2 linked regions of the Arabidopsis thaliana genome follow. The protein of the gene in region 1 interacts with the protein of each later gene in a pairwise test. Each region holds a gene or a part of one and is shown on either strand. Other genes may lie near its edges.

Evidence for each region.
Region 2: the proteins of DYT1 (region 1) and AMS interact in a two-hybrid assay, tested with the Arabidopsis thaliana proteins (one study listed by BioGRID).

What each region holds. Positions count from the first base shown.
Region 1 is NC_003075.7:11,347,910-11,351,271, forward strand, and holds DYT1 (basic helix-loop-helix (bHLH) DNA-binding superfamily protein), read left to right. Parts: upstream 1-2,012; coding exon 2,013-2,192; intron 2,193-2,266; coding exon 2,267-2,464; intron 2,465-2,539; coding exon 2,540-2,785; downstream 2,786-3,362. UniProt on the Arabidopsis thaliana protein: Transcription factor. Involved in the control of tapetum development. Required for male fertility and pollen differentiation, especially during callose deposition.
Region 2 is NC_003071.7:7,329,706-7,334,754, reverse strand, and holds AMS (basic helix-loop-helix (bHLH) DNA-binding superfamily protein), read right to left. Parts: upstream 3,035-5,049; coding exon 2,934-3,034; intron 2,819-2,933; coding exon 2,651-2,818; intron 2,564-2,650; coding exon 2,491-2,563; intron 2,404-2,490; coding exon 2,335-2,403; intron 2,258-2,334; coding exon 1,643-2,257; intron 1,559-1,642; coding exon 1,304-1,558; intron 1,271-1,303; exon of another isoform or gene 1,201-1,270; coding exon 1,024-1,200; exon of another isoform or gene 945-1,023; intron 936-944; coding exon 678-935; 3' UTR 501-677; downstream 1-500. Other genes in the region: UBC23 (ubiquitin-conjugating enzyme 23), read left to right, coding at 1-196. UniProt on the Arabidopsis thaliana protein: Transcription factor. Plays a crucial role in tapetum development. Required for male fertility and pollen differentiation, especially during the post-meiotic transcriptional regulation of microspore development within the developing anther.

The sequences.
Region 1 (3,362 bases):
CCTTTTCGCCCAATTGACTCTATTACGGGAGATTTGGAGCTTGGATCATTCCATGCGGTGATGAAGGGCATTCCGGTTATAGCTGGTGCCTCTAATACAGGCCCCGAAGCTTACACTGTGGCTAATGTATTCCCATGGATGCTCACAGTCGCTGCAACTAACATAGACCGTACCTTTTATGCAGACATGACTTTTGGAAATAACATTACCATAATTGTATGTGAAATGTTTTTTCAGGTCTTTTCACCATCGGGTTTCACTAGTCTTGGAAACTTACTCTTTTCCCTTAAAAACTGTTTCAGGGTCAAGCTCAATATACAGGTAAGGAAGTATCTGCTGGTTTAGTTTACATTGAACACTATAAAACCGACACCTCTAGCATGCTGGGAAAAGTTGTCCTGACGTTTGTGAAAGAAGATTGGGAAATGGCAAGCGCATTGGCGACTACAACTATCAACAAGGCGGCGGGGCTGATCGTGGCACGAAGTGGTGATTATCAAAGTGATATTGTCTATAATCAACCATTCATCTACGTAGACTATGAAGTCGGAGCTAAGATTCTACGATACATCCGCTCGTCAAGGTATACTATCCTTTATTTTATATTTTTTGTGATTGATCATCCTTCCGAGTCACATAGAGTATGTAAAACTGATCATCTTCTTATGGCTTGCGGTCTCTTCAGTTCTCCCACGATTAAAATTAGTACTGGTAAAACGCTCGTAGGACGTCCTATTGCGACTCAAGTTTGCGGATTCTCATCTAGAGGGCCTAATGGACTCTCTCCTGCCATTCTCAAGGTTCTTTCCCTAAACAGTGTTTCAAAATCTTGTCTGTCGTTTCCAATTTAAGGATCACCTGTTAATGATGGAAATTTCTTTGGGTTTATAAATGATGCAGCCTGATATAGCAGCCCCTGGTGTGACGATTTTAGGAGCTACATCTCAAGCCTACCCCGATTCTTTCGGCGGTTATTTTCTAGGCACAGGGACATCCTATGCCACTCCCGTTGTTGCGGGGCTCGTCGTACTACTCAAAGCTTTACACCCTGACTGGTCTCCTGCTGCGCTAAAATCTGCTATTATGACTACAGGTTCTTGAAAATGGAAAACCACTTTCTTCTCCTCACCAGAAAACCACCATTCGTTAATTTAATCTTACCAGAGTTTCTTCTCTTGTTATTATAGCATGGAAGACTGATCCATCCGGGGAACCAATCTTTGCGGAGGGAGAACCACGGAAACTGGCTGATCCATTTGACTACGGTGCAGGACTCGTGAACGCGGAAAGAGCCAAAGATCCAGGACTAGTTTATGACATGAACATCGACGATTACATTCACTATTTCTGCGCCACTGGTTACAACGATACATCAATCACTATAATCACGGGAAAACCCACAAAATGCTCGTCTCCATTACCGTCTATCCTCGATCTTAACTATCCCGCCATCACGATTCCCGACCTTGAAGAAGAAGTGACCGTCACAAGAACGGTGACTAACGTTGGACCTGTGGACTCAGTTTACAGAGCCGTGGTCGAGCCTCCGCGAGGTGTGGAGATTGTTGTTGAACCAGAGACTCTAGTGTTCTGTTCGAACACGAAGAAACTTGGGTTTAAAGTTAGGGTTTCGTCGAGTCATAAGAGTAACACTGGTTTTTTCTTTGGTAGTTTCACTTGGACTGATGGGACTCGAAATGTTACCATTCCTTTGTCTGTAAGGATTCGTGTTTTGAACCCTTGAATAAGAAGATTCCTCAATTCGTCATAAATTGTTTTTTCTCTCTATAATGAAAACAAAAATTGTTATTTTAGTCTCTGTATTTGACTCTAACTGAAATCACATTCACTTAATAACAAACTGAGACTAAGATTCTCTCTTTTATTCTCTCTCCACTAACAGACTTCTATCTACATGAGAAGCAACTATATAACTCATGTCTTTTACCACCATTACATAAATAAGAATATAAACACTTTTGTCTGAAAAATTATCAAAGAAGAAGAAATAAATGGGTGGAGGAAGCAGATTTCAAGAACCAGTGAGGATGAGCCGTAGGAAACAAGTAACAAAAGAGAAGGAAGAAGATGAAAACTTCAAATCTCCAAATCTTGAAGCAGAGAGACGTAGAAGAGAGAAGCTTCATTGTCGGCTTATGGCTCTGCGATCTCATGTCCCCATTGTCACCAACGTAAGTCCCAAATCTCGATTATTATTTTATGGGTATTTTGGTGATGATTGTTGTTGTTTTTGTTTCGTTTTCAGATGACTAAAGCAAGTATTGTTGAAGATGCGATTACTTACATAGGAGAGCTTCAAAACAATGTTAAGAATCTCTTAGAGACATTTCATGAAATGGAAGAAGCTCCTCCTGAGATTGATGAAGAACAAACGGATCCAATGATAAAACCTGAAGTTGAAACTAGTGATCTTAACGAAGAGATGAAGAAACTCGGAATCGAGGTTTTTAAAATTTCTCTAATCGATTTTTGATTCATTTTCTTTATCTTTCTTGATGATTTTTTATTTTTGGGACAGGAGAATGTGCAATTGTGTAAGATTGGGGAGAGGAAGTTTTGGTTAAAGATCATAACAGAGAAGAGAGATGGGATCTTTACTAAATTCATGGAGGTTATGAGATTTCTCGGATTCGAGATTATCGATATTAGTCTAACAACTTCAAATGGAGCAATTCTTATTAGTGCCTCTGTTCAGACACAGGAACTCTGTGATGTTGAACAGACAAAAGATTTTCTTTTGGAAGTTATGAGAAGCAATCCATAAGTATTAATTATATACATCTTGGAAATTTCTTGATCTAATAACATTTCCATTGGTTTTTATTACATTGTTGTTCCATTTTAAATATGATATGATTCAGATGAAAAAGAGTTTGTGTTACAAGCCAATGAGCTTCTTCTTGTCTTCATATATGTTGCTGCAAAATGTTCATGATCCTCTGTTTGAGGTCAAAGAAAGAAAACACTAGATATTATCTCTAGGATCCGAGCAATGGGGGTTTCTTTTTAAAATGGGCTTAGAATGAATTAGCTCTTAAATGGGCCATTCTCAAGTTGAGCCCATTTAATTTCAACCATCCAAATGGTGAGTAGTGAATAGTGATGTTCATTTGTGTAAGGTTGGAAGTTGGTAGAAACCTAAGTTTTTTTATTCAAATATCAAAACTATTCAATAGAGCCAAAATCAAAAGACATTTTCCTAACCTATTAACTATTTTTTTATAAAAATAATAATATACCTTTATCATCTCTGACTTTCCCTACTCCACGACATATTTGATTAACAATATAAAATAATTTATAGTTTCCACTCTCAATGAAATAAAACGATGGACCGTTTC
Region 2 (5,049 bases), on another chromosome or scaffold:
ATGTGACGCCTACATGAAAGGATATCTCATAGGTTCCCTCACCAAAGATGCCTCGGTTATCGATGAACGCAGCAGCGCTAATTCAACTTCAGTTGGTTTTAAGCTTATGCTGGCTAAGATAGCACCAAAGCTTTTCTCAGCACTGAGCGAGGTAGGAGCTGACTGCAATGAATTCCAGCATCTGCAGCAGCAATAACACAATCCTAAAAGGAGCTGGATACACCGATCGTTGCCAATGAACCAAGTGAAGGTTTGCGGCTTCTTTACTATTACAAGTTTCAAATTCAGATATTTCTGAAACGTGTGTAGTAGAGTTTTTTTGGAGTTATACAAGAATTAAGCGATACTAAGTTGTAACCCCATCTGGTCGAACAATATCGACAAATGAATTTGTTTTGGTTGGTCATGTTTTGGGGCCTACTTAAAAGTTTTAGGGGTGCACTTCAACACCTGTTTCTTTTGTCATGGGTTGTCAAATTACTTTTCTAACAAAGATTATTTAAGTAAAGTTGTTTCGCTTTGGTTTATTCCTGGTATTGGATACAGGAACTGTTCTCGAACTGACATTCCTTTTATCCTTATATATCTTGAAATGAAAAGATCTTCAAAGTTTGTTGATGCAGAATGTTTCTTTTGCTTGTAAAGCAGACATCTTTATAGCTTTGGGGAATTGGTCCTTATTGGTTGTGGTAATGGTTGATGTGTTGGTGGTGGTGATGATGATGAGCGCTCTGATTCATCTGGTGATCAAATGGGTGATGATGACCATTGTGATGCTGGTGATCATCATAGTGTTGATAATCAACTTCGTTCTTTTCGTTTTGCATAGAGCCTGTAGCCATCTGATCATCTTGCCATCCTCTAGATGTGTTCCGGGTTATTTCCAGCAACGAGTTCCTTACGTGTTCAGCTTGGACCATCTCGTTATCATTTTTCTGTAACATGGGAAAACAGAAACATATAGTTTTTGTATATTTTGCTTTGGTTTTTGTTTCTCCATTCCGCAGGTCCTTTAGATCATACCTCGACTTTGAAGACATTGGAGACCAGGCTGAGGTAGCGAGTCGTGTTAGCATTTGTGACTTCTAGTCCAAGAGAATCCAGTGCCTCCATTAGCCTTGTGAAGCCTCCTGGTTTGTATTCGCAAATCACCTTTACGAAAAACTCTCTGCCATCTAACTGAGCCACGTCCACCTGTGGCTGAAACTCCGCAACCCAACATAAACCGATATCATGAGGTTTTGATTTTAGAGTTCAGATTAGAAGAAAGGTGAGAGTTAGTTTCTTGTTATGATGCTCTAACCTCCATTTCTTGTCCTTTATCATTGGAATTCTCAAGATCAACATCTTGCTTCACGCTAGGAACGTTGGAGTTACATGAAAGCCCCGGGTGAAACCCAGTGACCACTGTCCCGTTCAGGCTCATCCCTCCTTGTGGCCTATTAGATCCATCCTCAGTCTCTGAGTTCTCTTCAAGCTCGTCTTGAAGCTCCTTTGCCTCATTCTGCAACTCCTTAACGTAGTTGATTGCATCGCCAAGAATCGACGCCCTGTCCAACTTCCATGCCACAAAAACTAGTTTCAGAGAACGCATTATAACTCAGAAACCAAGAAGTAAACCCAGAGACGAAAACCAAGATACCTTGGTTATCCTGGGAACAAGCGACCGGAGAGCATAAAGCCTATCGTTTAGCTTCTTCCTCCTCCGTCTCTCAGCCATCAGGTTCTTGGCTTGAGATCCTTTTCCTGACTTCTTCTTGTACTTTGGATCATCTTCATCATCAATCTGGTCGCTGCAATCCGACCCTGAATCCACCCTACCGTTCTCATTCATATCCTTATCGTTAACAACTTGCTGTTCATTCACAAGCAAGCTAGGCTCTCCAATCACTGGAATCCCATCTTCTTCCACCGTGTTAAATGGGTTCATACCCATCATTTCCTTGTTACCATTCTCTGGGAGATACCCCAAGGCTTGATGATGATAATCACTCTTCATCTTCAAGTGTTGTGTCTCGTAATCACTCATCTGAGGCAAGAAATTGAGTCGGATCTGATCAGCAGAGATATCGTAAGACGAAGGGAGATTCATCATATCTTCTTCTTTGGAACCCTTTTGCTGGATGTCACCGGATAACATCCCGTACGGCTTCGATTCGACCTCGTCTGCTACCATCATGTTTATCGTTACAGAATCGTCCATCAACATGTTGCAATGTCCCATTACAAAATCCACCACGTTCTGATCTTCAGCGACCTATACGCGCACACATCATCACAAACAACCACAATACAAAAAACCATAAACTTAACATTATTGAGACATAAACATACATGTCTGGTCGCAAAGAGCTCCACTAGTCCTCCCGGTATAGGAATCAAAACCCTAGTACAGATTGTTTCCTACAGGATATAAGAAAAACCGAAAATTAATACTTCTTGTTCATGAGATTGTGATTACTCAAAACTCCAAGAATCGGGTAATAGTACCTGCATAAAACTTGGTTCTGAGCTCTCACTCAACCAACCAGTCTGGTTAGTCAGAAGAGTCTCCGCATATATCCTATAGCAAAATCCATATTTTTCCATCTCTAGGCGTTTCTTATGAAAGAATATATGTAGCTTGTATATATATTATAGATGATCATACCCGGAATCAAGAGGTATGGAAGCTGGAAGATGGGAAAGAAATTCACAAGATTTGGTCCGAGGATGATGAAACATAACATCCCTACAACCTCCGTAGCTAAACTCTTCTGTTCCATTCTCCGCTATGAGTTCTGTCCCACCACAACAACATCCCATCCACTTCACAAACCTGTCTCCTCCAAAACCACAATAACAAATATTTGTGACGAAAGAGAAAGAAAGATGGATAGATAGAGATAAAAACTCTTTAAAGCTTAACTACTTATTAAAAGAATCAAATCAACCTTTGGTCTTCGTTTAGTCTCCAAAGAACACAATAATCCCAAGCCCTTGCACCCACAAGAGGCCTCAATTTCTCCAACAAGTTTTGCATATTACTCTCCATTAATCTCTCAATATGATTACTGACAAAAGCACAAATCTATTGCGTCAATATTTAATGGATTTGTTAGTAACAAAAAAAAGAGATTAGAAACAATAACTAGAGGGGACAAAATGTATAATTTTTCATGATGATAGAGCTAAAATATCATGAGGAAAATATGCCAACAAGAACTTACACAAGATTCTCGGAAAAAACAAGGCTCCTCAAAAATCTTGTGACTGGTGAAAACTTGACAAGAGAAAGCCAAGAAATTGTACCAAAAGAAGACAAGAAATTGGAAGAAAGAAGAAGAAGAAGAATAATCAGTAATAGGTAGCAGCTAATTACTTCCATACAAGGTTGAGCTTTTTCGTGTAAAATAACGTCACCACAAAACTTTATTTATATATGTGTGAAAATATCTGAGTTATAATTTTTTTTCTTTCTTCTCTCTTATTAGGAGAGATTGTTTTTGGTAGGTTAAGTGCAGGACATGCATGACGATCATGTATATGTATGTATTTACTTTTATATTTTTTGTATAATATATGTGGAATGTAACTAAACACATTAGTATAAAAAGTATATATTATAAAAAGAATTAGAATGATGAAAGGGGCAGATTGCATGAGCTAAGATAACGTGTAAAACCCTAACTAACTTTGTTGAGAGCTTCTCTTCGTTGCGTTTAGGTTATTCATTCTTCTTTCGGTGTCTCAACTACTATTTATTTTCCCTTCTTTGTCATTTTCTTATTATTCGATTTTAGTTTTCCTTGATTCTTTAGTTCCGACGTAAAATATGTTATAGAGTGATAAAAATTTACAGAAATAATTGTGTGAAGACATATGCAAATATTTGAGTTGAGAATAAACGACAAATAAATATTGTTATGCGTAGCAACTAGCAAAAGCTGAGCTAGCTTTGTCTCCTAATAAATATCCATAGACCCAACTGTCCACCTTTCATGAAGCTGAAATTCATGATTACGTAACAAACCACTCCCATAGTCGGACGTAAGTTTCTTCATCTGAATACATATCTACACGCATGTTCCTCTTCAGTCTTCAATAGTTATATTATGTGCTTTGCATAGATCTACCCATGCACATTGATCAAGAGTTTAATGCTTGTATGATGGATTTTAAATTCGATTCCGGAAGAATCAAATTTTTAATAAGTAATAAACACATTTTAGGATATTTGATTAGTATGTTGTTGTTGTTGATTAGTAAATTCGACTTGCTTACCAAGCCTCTATGTATATCATCTGTAAAGAAAGACACTCTCTGCTACACAATCTCGTTATGGAGATTAAAAACATCATTCGGTGTCATTTAGATCCTTTGTCAAGAGCTCAAAGATTAGGCCTCCATGGAATCTCATTTCTAGCAACTTGCTTTGCTCTTTGTAATTCATAATGTGCTCTGTTTGCTTGTTATGTTGTAGGTGTTATTCATTATAGGAGGCAGGACTTTGTATTCGGTTTCTTGTTTAATGAAAGGTATATATTGGTTAAAAAAAAGTATGTTGCAGGTAGAATTACTTATTGTGGAACCAATATTTTTTTTTTTATAACTACAAATCTAATAATAGGAGAAGTGATATAAATCACTTTTCATAATAGAAGAAGAAAATAGATTATATTATTAGAATTATACTATCTATGAATTGTGAGTTTTAGGGTGGGTTTCTACCTCTTCAAACTCGATTGGTTGGAAAAGATAGTAGATTACATACCAGTTACATCCTAAAGTTTAGTATTGTTACAACACCACTCCAAATTTTTTATATGATTTTCTTCTGACATATTTACGGTATAAATAGTTGGAAAACAGAACTAAAATAAAGAATTTTATGACTCAGCTAGTACAATTTTTAATTATAAGCTTTGTTGGTAATTTTGATATCTTTTTTTTCTTAAAGAACATGTGTATTATAATATTCAATAAAATATCAATTTTATATCATTTGGAAGTTTAAGTGTTAAGGATGGCAAAAAAATATGTTGAGAATATATTTAAGCATATGTTATA